Linked DNA regions of Elephas maximus indicus. The protein of the gene in region 1 interacts with the protein of each later gene in a biochemical or structural test. Links are inferred from orthologs where the notes say so. Each region holds a gene or a part of one and is shown in the gene's direction. Other genes may lie near its edges.

Region 1 (7,954 bases):
AAACCTATTGGCGCTGCCCGCTATCTTCTCTGAGCCCCTCGGCATCTGTGCTCTGAGCTGTCAGGGCTCCGGGGACAGGTGAGGTAGCCCTGCACCAGCGGGAAAGGACAGGCAGGGTTGTCTCCCCTGGGCCAGCACCACTGCCCACCTGGCCAGCACCACTGCCCACCTGGCAGCCCCATTTCTTGAATGAGGAGTCCCAGGTGGCCCACAGGCTGGTCCTGCAGCCCTCAGCCCACCACCAGCAGGCCTTGTCAGCTCACCTGCGCTAGCCAGGGATGTGGGGGGACATGCCCGGGCACCACTCTCCTGAGCCTCCTGCGGAGGGAACAGGCCTGCCTCTGGGGTGCTGACCCTCCAGCCTGCGGGTTTCACAGCCACCCGCTGCCTCGGATGGGAGACCCCGTGTTGGGGAGGGCTTTGGAGCTCTGGTCAAAGTGTCCACCAGCAGGGGGCTGGGGGACAAGCTGAATTTGCACTGTGCGCTTGCTGGCCCTGTGCCCCTGTTCCCTCGGACCCTCCTTCTACCGCCCTTCTGGTAGCATCCCTGTGGGTGTCAGGACCCAGCAAAGACAGGTCCCTCCCTGCCTTCAGGGCAGCGCCTCCCTTCCAGGAACCAAACAAGTCTTAGCCGTGCTGAGGGATCAGTGCTGGGAGCCCGGAGGGGCTGGGGGTCCAGGGAAAGGCCCCCAACTCTGCCCAGGGCTCTGGGACAGCTTTCTGCAGGGGGTGGAGACTGAGCGGTCACTCAGGGACAAACGGGGGAGGTCACCTCAGCAAGAAATGTTTGTGAGACCTGGAGGCAAGAGAAGGGGTTGTGGAGCCTGAGGGGCTCCCCCATCAGGGCCTGGCAAATATGTCCCAGGGCGGGATCTAGTACCTGCAAGCAGGCTGGCCAGGTGCGGGCAGCTGGGTGCACTCTTGGGCCTGGGGGAGAGGGGCTCTGTGATGGGGTGGGGGCAGGGAAGCAAACACTAGAGATCAGCCAGCCCCTTTCCACTCTCAGGCAGGGCTTCCAACAGGTTGCGAACAGTTCTGTAACTGCCAGATCCCGAAAATTTCAGGAGCCTAATGCGGGAGGCTGGATTATTGGCAGGACTGCGGAGAGTGACACACATTCCAAGGAGCGCAGCCAGCCGCCATCTTTGAACAGGGCATCGCTGTTCGTTTCCTCCTGGGTCAAAGTCTGACGGGTCAAAGTCTGGTGGGTCAAAGTCTGACTGGTCAAAGTCTGACGGGCAACAGATTTGGTTGTCTTGCAATGTATACGCTGCCCTCATTTACGTCTGCAGTTACAGAATCATTCCTGACCTGGTCCCAATAAAAAAAAAAAAAATTATTTTATTTATTTTTTTTTATTATAGGAGGGGTGAAATCCTCCGAAGTTGACCGGCCACTTTTGAAATGGAAAAAGGCTTTAGGATCACTCGTTCGATGGGCACTGAGGCCCAGGGTGAGTGATAGCCCGTGGACGGCCAGCAGGGCAGTGGTAGGCCGGAATTTGGAGTCCAGTGCTTGGCTCAGAGCTGACGGACAGGTCTGGTGTAGGCCTGACTGTGGGGTGCAGCACTAGGCAGGAGAACCCCTGGAGCTGGCCACTTCTCAGGCCCCAGGGCTGGAGCTTGGCAAGCAGGTCAGAGATTTTACAGTGAACTTCGAAGGGTGGAGAGGCCTCACCCCTAGGCATTCCGGATCTTCCCACAACTCCCCAGTGGCACCCACCACTCAGATGAGACACATCACTCACCACGAGCCATGCCATACCATGCCACGCCCACAGTCAGTCCATCCTCCAAACTTTGGCCTCCTGACCACCACCCCAGCCTCCTCTTGGCCTGAAGACTCCAAGCCACCCTCCCCACACCAAGCTTCCTTTCCCTGCACCTCTTCCAGGCTGCCGCCCCCATATCATGGGCATGAGCTTGAGGGTGGGGTTCAGGGCAAGGTCCCCAGCACTGCCGCGTACACAGACAGCCCACCGCTTTCTGGGCCCATCTGCCGGGCGCCTGCAGAAGACCAATGCTGGGCCTGCTGCCCCCTAGCCAGTCTCCTAACAGCATCTCTGAACCCCAACTCCCTCACCTGTAAAATGGGGAGTGTCGTGCCCCCCAGGCCTGCAGGGGTCATGGAGGGCACCTGGAACTTCAGGGGAAACTGCTCTCCTGTGATCTCAGATTCCCCTCTGAAGCCTTACCCGCCCTGAGCTGTCTGCACATGCTGAAGGTCATACCGGGTGGCCAGGGTCTCTGTGCCTCACAGAACCGGGGCTGAGTACACAGCAGGCACCGCCTGAGTGTCTGTGGGCTGACTGCTACAAAGAAGGGCCCAGACGCTGGGGCCAGACAGACACCTCTATGTTAACATAGGACCCATCTGTCCTGAAAAGTAGTGGCCATGGCCCTGCAGGCTGGAGCTGGGAGGGCTTCCTTTGGGGGACAGGAATGGGCCAATGTCAGTAGGCCTCCCCAGCCCCTCCCATGAGGATACCCCAATAATGCTGGCACCTGGAGAAGAAGGTGGCCACTGGGCACCCCTGCCCCCCTCTGCAAGCTACCCCTCCAGTCTCCCCCAGACTGGTCCCAGGTTCCCTGGCCAGCTTGGGTGCAGCCCAGGGGTACCCACAACAAGCTGCATCATAGTTGGAGCCCCCATTCAGCTTCTCCAGGTCCCTCCCACACTCTACTGCTGGGATCCCAGGTGCCCCACATACACCCCCCATCATTTCTCCATAGCTCCCCCAAGGCCCACTTCCCAGGGTTACCCCCAGGCTGCTTGCCCCCACTGGAGAAGGTCACAGAAGTCCTAGCCTCACTCTTGCTTGGTCAGGAGCCCCATTCTCCCTGGCCAGGCCAAAGTGGGTAAAAGACAGGAAGGTCAGAAATATTCAGCCTAATTTGTGAATAAAAAAGCTTCTCACCTACTTGCCAGGAGTCAGGCCCACCCGTTCGTTCTCAGGCCTCAGGGGAGGGGAGGTCCCTACCCGGCCCACACCCTCAGCCTCTGCACCTCCAGCTACATTTGGCTTTCCTGGGGTCCCCTTGCTCCTGGCCATTTGTAGGGACCCCAGGTGGTGGAGACCTTAGGCAGCCCAGCTGGGAGGCCAGCTGCACGGTCTGTGGCTCAGTTGCTGTCTGTAAGGTGGGTAATGAGAGGGCCCACTTCCTGCATGGTCGGACCATGGGCATCCAGTGGGCCACAATCTTCCCACTGATGGAGGACAGAGGCTCAGAGTGGACAGGCTATCCTTACAGCTGGACCCAGACCCCCAGACCCCATGCTGTGCTCCCCGTCTCCTCCCCTGGCCTTCCAGCCTGCTCCTGGGTGGATGGGTGTGCAGTGGCTCCCAGAACAGAGCTGGACGGGCCTTCACTTGTGGCCCAGGGAAATTGGTGAGGTCAGATAGAAGGCACAGAGGCAGTGGCACCCTGAGGGGCCAGGCCTGAGGCCCTGAGTCGGGCCAGAGGCAGAGGGGCCTGGGGGTGAGATGCCCCCGGAGTCCCAGGTCTGTAAATGGGGTGGGGACTGCACCCCTCTCTTCCTTTTAGGGGAAAGCCTGCTCCTCCAGGCTGCCGGCTGCTCTTACATAAACATATCCACTACTTGGAGGCGCCTCCTTGGGGCACTGACCTCGAGAAGTTACCCAAGGTTCCAAGGAGGGCCGCCAGCTTCTGGGAGGAGGCGCCCGGGGGCTTCCAGCAGCCAAGGGCCTCCAGCAGCCGAGGGGCTGGACTGGCAGGGTCTCCCTGCGGTGGCTGCGCAGCAACAGGTGGGCCAAGACAGGCAGGAAGCGGGCTTGGCCATGTGGGAGTCTGCCCACCTCCCTAAGCAGGGCTGCCTCCTTTCCTCCAGAAGCCTGGGGACCCCAGCAGTCCTGTGGGTGTTCCCATCCCCAACACCCTTCCCCACTAGGTCTCTCAGCCTTTACCCCTCAGCTGGCATCGCCTACTCCAGGACGCGCAGCTCGGTGGGTGCACCTCCTGCCCTTGGGCTCACTGCCCTGATGCAGGATGGGGTGCCTGTCCCTGGGGCTAGTCCGTCTACCTTTGGTGGACAGGGACTGTGGCAGTCATTCTGGGCGCCCAGCGCTTAGCCGGCTTGGCACAGGGCACCCTATTGGGGCATCGCGCAGAGAAACACATCGCCCAGGCAGAGCACGTGTAGGCCAGCCCGGAGGCCGCGCCAGGGCTGGCTCTCCAGGGCCCACGGGTGGTTGGCGCCAGGGGCAGGCAGTAATGAGGAGCGTCCACCGTGGGGCCCTCCGGGGGAGCCGCTGAGCGCCCCCCTCGCGAGACGGTGGCTGCGGGCCTCCCCTCGGGGTGCCCGACTCCATTCCCCAGAGGCTGAACCGTGGCGCCATGGTCCTCAGGGCCAAGCGCTGCGGCCGTCCCGGTGGGAGTCAGGCCTGGGCTCTCGGGCCGGAGCAGGGCCCTGGGAGTGGAGCCCCGCCCGGGCCGGGATCCCCAAGCTCGGCCTCGGCGGATCAGCCCAGCCTCCCGGCCCCTGCCCCGCCGGCACGGTTCCGGGGCCTCTCATTTCCCCACTCCGCCGCTCCTCCTCAGCCATTGAGATGCAAATTGTCCCCAATTGTCGCCGAGGCGGCAGCGGCCGAGACGGATCCTTCCGCAATGCGTCCCAAAGTTTTGGCCTCGGAAACTTCGAACCAACAAGTAGTGCCTGCCCTGGCCCACCCTCCCGAGCGCGGCCCCGGTCCCGAGCGCCTGGCCTGGCAGCGCGTTCCCACCGAGGGGCGCATCCCGGGGTGCACAGCCGAGGGGCGCAGCCGGCCGGGAATCGGGGTTCAGACGGATCGCGGATGGGGTGTGAGGGGCGGGGCTTCACGGTGGGGCGGGGCCGCCCGGCGGGGCGGGGCGGGGCCCGGCGGGGCGGAACACAAGGCGGCCCAGCGCCTCACTAGTGCCTCGGCCTGCGGGAGGGAGCGCAAGGCGCGGGGCGAGCGCTGGGTACCAATCGCAAGCGGAGCCGGTGCCGGAGCCCGCGAGAGCCAGCGCCGCCCGCCCGCCCCCGGGAAGCAGAGGGCGGAGCGGGACCCCCGGCGCGAGTGCGCCCAGCCAGCCGCCCAGCCAGCGGAGCGCCGCGGGGAAGCAGGCATGCCGCCGCTCCTGGCGCCGCTGCTCTGCCTGGTGCTGCTGCCGGCGTTCCCCGCTGCACGAGGTAGGCGCCGCCCCGCGAGCCCGCAACTTTCCGCGCCCCTCTCCAACTTTGGCGGCGCTGCGCGCGCGCCCCGGGGGCCTCGGGCGGGGCGAGGAGACCGGGAGTCCCGGGCCAGGACTGGGACACCCCCACCCCCAAGGCAGGGCGGACTCGCGCTGCCCGGCGCCGGGGCCGCATCAAGAGCTGGGCGCGGGGCGCCGGTCCCGGGGTCTGGGGCCCCGCCGCCAAGCTCGCCTTCCCCGGCCACGCGTGGGCTTGCCGCGTGGCGCGCGGACTGCCTACCACTTTTCGATTTGAATCTAGTGGGTTTTGGTTTCCTGTTGCTTCTCGGAGCCATTAGTCTTGTTTCTGCGCATTGGGCCCGCGCCGGGGGCGGATGTTGGGGCGCGGAGCGTGGGGTCCCGGCTCTGTGTTCCCCTTGGCCAGCCCTCGCGGCCGGGGCCGGCAAGGCGCCGTGGGAAGCGGGGTCCGGGCCGACCGGCCTCCTTGGCCTTCAGGAAGGTTCGCGCGGGCTGGCGCGTGGAGCGGCTCCGGTCCCCGACCCCCGCGGACTTCCCCTCCCCGGGCGGGATCGCCGGCCGCCAGCCCGGCTCACAGCCTTTCTTTGGGGGGGGGTGCGGATCCCGGATTACAGACTTTTTGGGGGAGTGCGGAAGACTCGCCTTGGTGGGACCGAGTTTCGCTTTGCTCCGCGGAGTTCAAGTTTGGCGATCTTGGGGGGGGTGGAGAGAGACGTGGGAGGGAGCGCGGTTCCTGGCCCGATTCCCATCCCGAGGGTCTCCGGGCAATCTGGTGATTAATTCCTGTCTTCCCAAAAAGTTGGTGGTGAGAATTTTTCCCCCTTTCAGAAAGTCGAGTCCCTGTCACAGCGCCCTCCCCCCGCCCCCCGACGGCTTCACTTGTCCGGCGGGTGAGAGGGAAGGGCGGGGCCTCGTTTATGGACCGGTTCTCGGGAAGGGGGTCGCATTCCTTCCCAGCGGGGCTCCCCACCCTCCCATGGGTGTGGTGGGGCTGCCCCTGGAGATGGCCCCGCGGGAGCAGGTATTGGGTGTCCGCAGGGGCGGGGCGGCCAGGACGCAGGAGGCGGCCGGCGCGACAATGGCCCGCTCTGATTCCGCGACGGCGCTCTGTTGGCGGGCGGGGCGGCGGGCCACGCAGCTGTCGCATTTTCCCACGAGCGGGGAGCCGAGTGTGGCGGCCCCGACCCTCCCGCCGCCACCACGTCCCGGCAGCGTGTTTAAACATCAAGACAGCCTCAGTGGCTGGGTGGGGGCCCTAGCCCCCAGCCCCGTGTGGCTCTCTGAAGAAAACTGGGGAGGTGGGGGTGTAAAGTTGGGAGAGTGGCGCCGGGAGACATCACTTTTCTCCGCTGCTGCCAGGGGGCATATCAGTCACTCCCCACTTTGAGCACTGCCTGTCCACCTGCCAGCCCACCCCGCCCCCATTTCTGACTGGAACTTTGAAGTCTTTCGGGGTTCATTCTGGGGCTTCCCGGTGCCCCCTGCCCCTGCAACCCCAGGACTCTGAGTGAAGGGCCCCCGAGGTGAGGTCTGATGGCGGCACTTAGTCCGGAGCTGGTGACAGAGGCTAGGTTTCTGTCCTCAGAGATGGGCCGTTCCAGAAGCCGAGGCTCTGCTGACCCTCTTGTCTCTCCCCCGGCCCCCCCAGGCCTGCGATGTTCCCAGACTGGTGAGGAGACCTGCTTGAATGGCGGGAAGTGTGAAGTGTTTGCCAATGGCACGGAGGCCTGTCTGTGAGTATGCGCGCCCCCACGGGGACCTGTTGCTTTATGGGAGCGGGAGTCCCTGCCTTCTGCGGCAGCCGGGGACAGAACACTAGGCCATTGTCTGGTGGAGATGGCCCAGAAGGCTGGGCACGTCACGTGCTGACTTTTATTGGACAAAGTCTGGCAATTACTTAATCACCCGCAATTAGGCTGCGCGTGAGCTGGCCAGGCCTCGGAGGGAGGGTCCTGGGCTCCCTCTTCGTGGCCACCTCGGCCTACTGGGCCCTAGGTGGGTATCCTGGCAGCCCATTTCTCCCTGAAGTCCCTGAGAAACGGCTGACCTGTCAAGGGGTCAGGACTTCCACTGCCACCTGGGGAGCATCTCTTCTGGGCAGGTTGAGCACCTGTGGGCAGGTGAGCCTCTCAGAAAGAAATTGACTGTTTCAAAACAAAACCTAACTCTCTAGGCCTGGGCCTTCCCCAGCCCATTGCGCCAAGGCCTCAGGGTGAAACTGGGGAGAGAAGCCTGAACCGGCCCCGCCCATCTCTATGGGTGGGGGTGTCTATCGGGAAGCCTGGTTTCTCTCTTGGCTCTGCAAACTCCCAGCCTCATGAGCGCCATCCACGGCCCTTGGCTTAGCTGGAGAGTGGGCACAGGGGGGCTGAGAGATCTGTTTGGAGTGCCAGTCTGCCTCGGGACGTTTTCACTGCTCCCCGATGTCCTTCAACTTGAGTTTGCCCCTGATGGGAATACTGAGGAGGCCCTGGGGAGCCGTCCACTCCGCCTCCCGGTCTGCCCCCGGCGCGCCCTCATTCCAACCGTTGATGGGCCCATTCCCCTGACAACCCGGCCCACTGCACCACCGGCTGGCCTGCCCACCAGCAGCCCCCGGGCCCCCGCCCACCAACTGAAGCCAATTACGAAGGTCTGTGAGCAGTTTAATGGACAGAGCGGAATGTTCCTTTGTCAGATGCTAATGAATGCATGCTACTTTTTTTTTTTTGCTTTTTGGGGGCCTTCTCCTTCTGCAGAAGCCACACTGACGCTTGATGCCC
Region 2 (7,310 bases), on another chromosome or scaffold:
TGAAGAAACTGAAGCTTAGGGAGAAGAACCAGCTTTTTCCAAAGTCGTATAGCTAGTAAGTTGCAGAGCCAGGATCTGAACATATTAGGTTCAAGAGTCTGAGTTCAAGTCTGTTTCCTTATGAGGTTCCAAGTGACTAAGAAACTGGAACTCTAGAAGGGATTCTACTCTTTGAAATCCTTGGAGTATAGCCATGTTTCCAGGAAATTCTTTGTGTGTGTGTAGAACAGGCATGGATAAAACTGTAAATGGCACTAAGAGCTTTGAGCGGCTCCCTCCCACTGCAGAAGAATGGCTGGTCCACCCATAGATCTGGTGATAGTAACCAGAGGCTCTATTCAATAACACAATGGTTGAGCTAAGAGCTGCAGCCCACTCATTTTACAAGCACTGAAGCCCTTTTGCCTATAATATACATGGTGGGTGGGTGAGTGAGGGGCATATACATTTTTGAGGGTGAACATGGACACACTGAATAATGAGAAGGTATGGTACACTTATTAAAAATCATATGAGCCCTGAAATTGAAAAGCAAAGGATTGTGCCTGACAGAACGCCCCTTTCTACCATTTCTTTTTGCATGAAACAGAACCTTAAACTTTGAACCATAGAGCTTTGTTTCAGTGTGGAGTGTAGCAGCTTGGCACTTCCCTGTATTGGACGCTCCCCAGTGTGGAGTGGTGAAAACATCTTCTCCCGGATAATCTCCCATTGTTTGGCCAGAACTCCATGCCAGTGGTCACCTTTATGAAATTGCATGAAGAACCACACTCCTTGGCTGGCTGCGTGAATCTGTCCTTCCTTGTCAGCTTTGCCCTGGTGCCAGAACAGCAGGCTTTGAGCTCAGGGAGAATTTCCAGGTGGCAGGAGAGTAACAGTCCTATAGGCCTGGCACACCACCCCTTTCAACCAGTGTCAGGGGCTGCACTTTGCTGGTGGAATTATGCAACCTAGAGTAAAGTCCACAGCCAGAGAGAAGGGGGCAGGATTCCAGGCTGGCTCAGCACTCTGTAACTTCTTGACTCTCTTTCTAGTTTTCCTTACCCTCTTCTCTCCTAGCCTTCTCTCGCTCTCTCTCTTTTTTTAATCTCTTCTCTCTCTCCTCCTTCCTCTCCAATTCCTTCATCCCTTTTAGCCTTCACTTTCAGGGATCACTAACTCAGGGAACCACCTCTTATCAAATATCTTGGCTTGTCTCCAGCTGCTAGTAGTAGGTAGCTCCAGCTCCTGTCTGCTATCTGAGCACTTTTCTTCTCTACCAGTTGTTTGTTTCTCTAATCCAGTTGGAATTGTGTGTAGAACCCCAGGGTAAAAAACCCCTCAAAAACAAAAAGTGGAACTTTTCCTCAGCCAGATTGCCTCCCTGGACTAAAATAGAAATGAAAGGAGTTTGCATTCCGCTCCCTTGAAATGTGATATTATGAAAAGAGAATAGGAGAAAAGTAGCATTAGTGTACAATAAAGCCCGAGGTATATATATCTCTCCTCAGGTAATGGGACTTCGCTTTGAGTCCTCCACCTCCCACTTAAATTGGGATTTATAGGGCTGTTTTTATCCTTATTATACCTGCCATCCTGGTCTTGTTCAAGTGGCTCTGAACGGATAACCATCTGTACCACCTCAACAGCCAGCTACATAACAACGCTGCAGACTCCCAGACTCCAGTGCTCTTGCTTTCTAAGAGGAGGACATGGAGAGCAGTGGAGAAGCACATAACACAGGAAAGAAAAGAGAATCTGGGAAGAATAATTAGGTTGTAAGTTTACCTTGTGCATGCAAAACCCAAACGTAGGCTACAAGCAATAACCTTTCCAAAACTTCACAGGCTTAGATAACACAATAGTTTTCCGTTGGTTCAAAGCATGTTCCTTAAAACCTTCCTTCTTTAAGATTTCCCCTCTTCTTAGGTCGTAACGATCACCTTTACATGTCTTATTTTAAATTTATTTTCTTAACTGATTTTCACAAGGAGTGGGTGTGATGGAAGTATGTATGCATGTATGAGCAAAAGCATTTATCAATGCTTTTTTATTTTTAAGTGTGTGAAATAGAATGACTAGCTGACCTCTGTGGCAATTTTCCACCTAGTTTTGTGATAGTAATTTTGTTGAGTTGCTGAACTTAGATGGCAAGTTCTCTTAGTGAGGCTGGCCTAATTCTATGTTCTCTATGGCACATAGTCACTATAGCTGTGCAAGAGCCATTATTACCCAAAGTACCATAATAATGGCCATGACCTCCTATGACGTTATTGTTTCCTATCTGCCAGGACATTAATTGCCTTCTAACTTGTTCTAAAATTGGTAGGTACAGCACACTGCCAAGGCTGGAGGGGAGAAAGCTGCTGCTGCTATGTTAAAATGCTGTGTAAAAGGACAAGTGGTGCCTCCTCACTGGGGCATCTTCACAGTTGCATGTTATTTCATCTGTTATGGCATGTTAGCTCAGGCTTGCCTTATGTCTTGGCTTCCATCTTATCATGGTCAACGTCTGATCTTTCCTTCTGCTGAATGATTCAGGCACCTCCAAAGTTGTTTTGGCTTTTCCATTTTCCTTTTACAGGCTTTTTATGAGTCATTGAATTGAATAGGAGGTGATTTCTAAATTGGAACGTGAAGATGAGAGAAGGGGGAGGGAAGTTCCGGAAAATAACTAGGAAAAGACACCTTATTGCTCTGTATATTTACTGGAGGAATAATTTTCGCTTAGTTTGGTGATAGAGGTGTGTAGTTTATTTAAATGACTAAAAATACAGGCTAGAAAATAGACAGCTTTTCTCTGGATAACAAGCCACACAGTTTTAGACTTCTTGTTGCTTCCTCTGCAAAGAACAGTAGGGCAAATAGAAGAGAGATGAGACCAAGGGTTAGAAGGAAGAAGGGGCAAAGCACAAAATTTCTGAAGTCCAGATTCTTGGTTGTACGGGAAGTTCCTGACCATAAAGTAGTGCCTGTGAGTGGATTCCTGATGGTGTTCCATCCCATCCCTGGTGTATGTTTCATGGCCCGTAGTTTTGTGTATTAACAGAGATGTGAAGAAGGTATGTTTAGATCTGATTTAGAAATTGAAGCAGTAGTCAGGCCAGCATTTTGTTATTTAGGAGCAGGAAAAGTGGGGGCGGGGAAGAAAAAGCAAAGCAAAAACTAATGATGAATATATTTGTAGAAGCACAAGAGTTTTTATAGCAACACCGTATTTCCCAAAAATGCCTACTGTGATTTGTACCCAAATGAATAAAAAAAAGTCATCATTTATTCTTGCGCATCATGCCCATGTGAGAAAAGAACTGCAATTCATTCTGTGGACCTAATTTAGACTAAAGACTGCTAGGAAGAGGAGAGGTTTAGAAAAAAAGACAAGCTTTCTAAGTATCTGACATGCAGCTAGTAGGGCTATTTCAGAAGTGCTGAACATAAAAGCCACATTTAAGGAGGTGGGGAGGGCGGGATTCTCATTTCCAGAGCATCGCAAGGATAATATGTCGCTTGCTTAGTCCAAACTTGATGTTGGCTGCCTGGAGCGAGTTCGGAAGTTGGAGAACTCTCAACATGCCACTTCAATTTATTAGAGATATTTTTAATTGCAACTGAAGTGGACTGATTGCTGCTAAATGAACGGTTGCGCTTTTAGTGTGCAGACTCCTGGAAAGAACTTAAAGGAAATTGGGCGCACTGAGACCTTAAAGAAAAGAAAGGGAAATTTTTTTTTTTGTAATCTATATAGTGCCTTTCCCCCTCTGACGTGGGCGTTTTGTAATTACTACCCGTACAAGTAGCCTATTAGTGATAAGCTTGTGCTTAAATGAAGGAAGCTGGAGGACGGGAGGAGTTGACAGAGGGAACGCTACAACAAAGAGTTAACCCTTTCCCGGTAACCTTAGATGTGAGTATCTGCCCCTTCTTTGATTGCTACTGCGCAACCAAACTGTTCACAAGCTTGAACCAACCTTGGCTGTCACATCCTTTGCCAATTGACATAACAGGCACTTTCAAAAGCCTATCAAAACGTCGAACTGTGCAATCATCGCCCAATCACAACTAAAGTTTAGTCTAGGACTCTCCAGGTCCGGGCGGGGGCAAATACCGGGTCCCGGAAAAGGGGCGGCAAAGAAGCTGTGACGGGCGGGTTAGGTCAACCAATCAAAGGAGAGAGCTGCCGCTCCACTGACCAATGGGTAGGTGGGAAGTACGAAACGGGGTGGGACTGTTGTCATGGGGGAGGTGGTGGCGCTAGGTGGCTACTGGCGGCCGAGGTAGAGGCAGTGGCACTGGAGTTGGTCTGGAGCAGCGGCAGGTGAGTGCCGGTAACGCGGGCCTGAGCCCTGGCGGCTGTCGCAGGACGGAAACTGCGGCTTGGCGCTCCGGGGACGGAGACTAAAGGAAAGGGGCCTGGAGTGCGGGCCCGGTGGGGGCCGGGGCCAGGGCGGGGGCGGCGGCGGCGGCGGCGGCGGCTGCGGCTGCTGCTGCGGCGGCGGCGGCGAGTTCTCGCTGACTGGGCTGGTGGGAGAATGGCCCGGCTTCTGGCGGCGCAGTTCCGGCTGAGAAGGTAGGCTTGGGCCGGACCCAAGCAGGTCAGGCCGGGAAGTCCCTTGGGGCGTCCCAGTGGTCAGGTCTGGGGAGCTGACCAGCGGCCGGTGTGTGAGGGGTAGGTCCCTGGGAAGACGGGAGCGGCTGGGGTCTCTGATAGCTGAGAGGGGGTGACCGGTAACGACCTGGTTCGAGGGCGGGGTGACTCGGGAACACCTAGGACGGCTGTGTTGTGAGGGAGAAGAGGAAGCTCGGGAGCGGCCCGTGAGCGAGAGAGCTGGGGGCCGGGGAAATTGGGAGTGGCCCCGGTCGGAGGGAGAAGGGAGGTGGGAAGCTAACGTAGGGCGGCCGGGGGTCCCGGATGACAGGGAGCGGCCTGGGTCCGAGTGAGGACGTCTGAGGAAAGGCAGGGAGGGGGCTGGGAACCTTCCTGAGAAAAGCGGCTGTCTGAGGGAGAAGAGCTCCTGACAGATGAGGAGCGGCGGGTCTTCGGAGGGTCGGACCCGTGGAGACCTCGAACTGCTTTGGGGGGGAACTGGAGTGTCCTGCCCCCCACAGACTAGACTGGGAGCTCGGGGTCTGAGGATAATCGGGGATCCAGGAGAGAAACCTTAGAGCAGTGGCTGGGGTTTGAGACTGGGGTGAGGGTCCAGCAGGGGTGTGGAAGTTCCCTCGGATAGAAAGGAGTCAAGCAAAATGGGATGGGGTGGGGGCAGATAATTTCCCTGTAGGAAGGGAGTAGTAGATAAGGCGAGAAAGTTGCTCACCCAGAGAGTGGAAACTGGCAGAACAGCAGATAGGAAGCATTAACGGTGGGGGCCATGGATAGGTTGTAAGGTCTTCAGAAAGAAAAGAAACTTGAGCGTCATAATTCATACTAAGATGCTATCTAGGACCAGAGAAAAGGTCCTAAAAAAAAAAGCAAGGTTAAGTTACTTGCCTGTTTGATGAGAATGTTGTTACATGAGTTAATCATTGTAGAGCTTCTAGAATAGTGATTGGACATAGTAACTGATGTGCATGGGATTGTTAAATAGAAGACAAGGAAAACACCTGGGGTCTTTAATGTGGTGATTCTCAAACGTTACCTTGCATCAGAATCACCTGGAGTTGTTGAGATTGTTTCTGATTCCGTAGGTCTGGGGTGGGGCCTGAGAGTTTGTATTTATCTCAGGTGAGGCTTATGTTGGTCAGGGGACCACACTTAAAGAACCGCTGCTTTAATGAAAACAATAATAATGCAGCAACCTTAAGATACCTATCCACTCTGCTAAAGAGACAGGTAGAGGCAAATTGCAAAAAAAAAAAGCTCCTAAATGAAGGATACCCACTCTTAAGCTTGTTTTTCATGGTTTATTAGTAAGTTATAGATCAATTTAGTGAGCTAGAACCTGCATTGAAAATAAAATGAAATAGAACAGAATAGTGCATCGCACTTGGTCAATACCTGTGTGTACTAGGTTGCAAAGTGAAATGTATTTCTTGCAGTGAGAATACTCTGAAAACTGTTTTGAGCCATGTAGTGGCTGCAAAAGCAACCCTCCAGTAGGGCTATCTGGGAACTAGATTTATTATGATTTATTTTTCTCATTTTTGTGGTAATTCCTTCTGAGGTGGTGATATATAGATTCCATTAAATCTCTTTAGCTTCTGGTTTTTTTGGGGGGGCGGGGGGGGTGTCTGTCTGATCACATATTTTGTTGTACCTCTCCTGGCTGTAGAACTTTTTTGGATATTGAGAATCTTTGGCATGGAGACTTAAGGGAATTTGAAGCAGAGAAATTGAGTGGTGCTTCTCAGATGTAGTACGCTTTTGTTTCACTTGTGCCCACCTGTTCACCCTTTCTTTTTTTACCCCTGTCCTGTAAGACATTGTCTGTGAAAAGCCAAAGTATACAGTGATGTATTGTCAGTAAACATCTAATATTGAAAGGAACTGATTTGAGAGCATTACATGCGTAGAAAATAATCAAAAACCAATTAAGACATATTTGAAAAGAGAAAAGCAGGCAGAGTATTTCCTTTTTAGAGAATAAAAAGTATTTTTAAAGCTTTTCTTGGCCTTGCACTGATACAAAACAGACATTTTTAGGGGAACTAGGTATATTTTACTTATGTGTTATAGATTTCTAGGTTTTTGTGGAGAGAATAAGTTGTGATAATACTTGATAGCAAAATTCACCTGCAATAGAAGAGGCTTAACTACAGAATAGTTTATCAAACAGGAGCTTTTGTTTTGATGGTTTTCTCCCTTGAGAATGAACTGGACATGTTATATGTTGTGAATTTAATTTGTTTGAGGGAACTAAATGTAAACTATAATACTTTATTTAAGCTATATTAAGAATAAATACGTTTTGTGCTGTTCTTGGTTTGAATTTTCTTCTGAAAATGAGATGGTTTATATTTAGAAGGAGTTGATTTAGATGTGTTTTTGTGAATAGAAGAACAGAGATAGCAGTATTGAAAACTGAAGGAGATCCCTGCAGCTCTCTTTAAAATCTTTAATCTGGGGATTTATGTAACCCTTTCATTAATGTTTTATGAAATTGTGAAGAAACTATTGGTGTAGCTTTGCATGAGGATTTCAGATTAGTTTTTTTCCCTCAAAGATCATTTTTAGTTCTATTTCAGAGTTTTGTTTCTTTAAAGTTTTTATTTTTGTTTGGGAGGCTGCAAAACATATAATCATTGCATGTTTGAGATCAAAAGGTGAAGCAGTCTTTCCGCAAAACAAGTTTGCTATTTTTTTTTTTAATGATACAGGTTCCAAAGATTAAAGC

Evidence for each region. The genes of interacting proteins can lie anywhere in the genome.
Region 2: the proteins of NOTCH1 (region 1) and NUMB form a complex in vitro, tested with the Homo sapiens proteins (2 studies listed by BioGRID). The link is inferred for Elephas maximus indicus from reciprocal best matches to the Homo sapiens genes NOTCH1 and NUMB.

Annotation. Positions count from the first base shown.
Region 1 is NC_064827.1:3,026,864-3,034,817, reverse strand, and holds the start of NOTCH1 (neurogenic locus notch homolog protein 1), read left to right. Parts: upstream 1-4,907; 5' UTR 4,908-5,108; coding exon 5,109-5,172; intron 5,173-6,840; coding exon 6,841-6,925; intron 6,926-7,954. UniProt on the Homo sapiens protein: Functions as a receptor for membrane-bound ligands Jagged-1 (JAG1), Jagged-2 (JAG2) and Delta-1 (DLL1) to regulate cell-fate determination.
Region 2 is NC_064828.1:86,240,573-86,247,882, reverse strand, and holds the start of NUMB (protein numb homolog), read left to right. Parts: upstream 1-4,210; 5' UTR 4,211-4,294; intron 4,295-7,310. UniProt on the Homo sapiens protein: Regulates clathrin-mediated receptor endocytosis. Plays a role in the process of neurogenesis.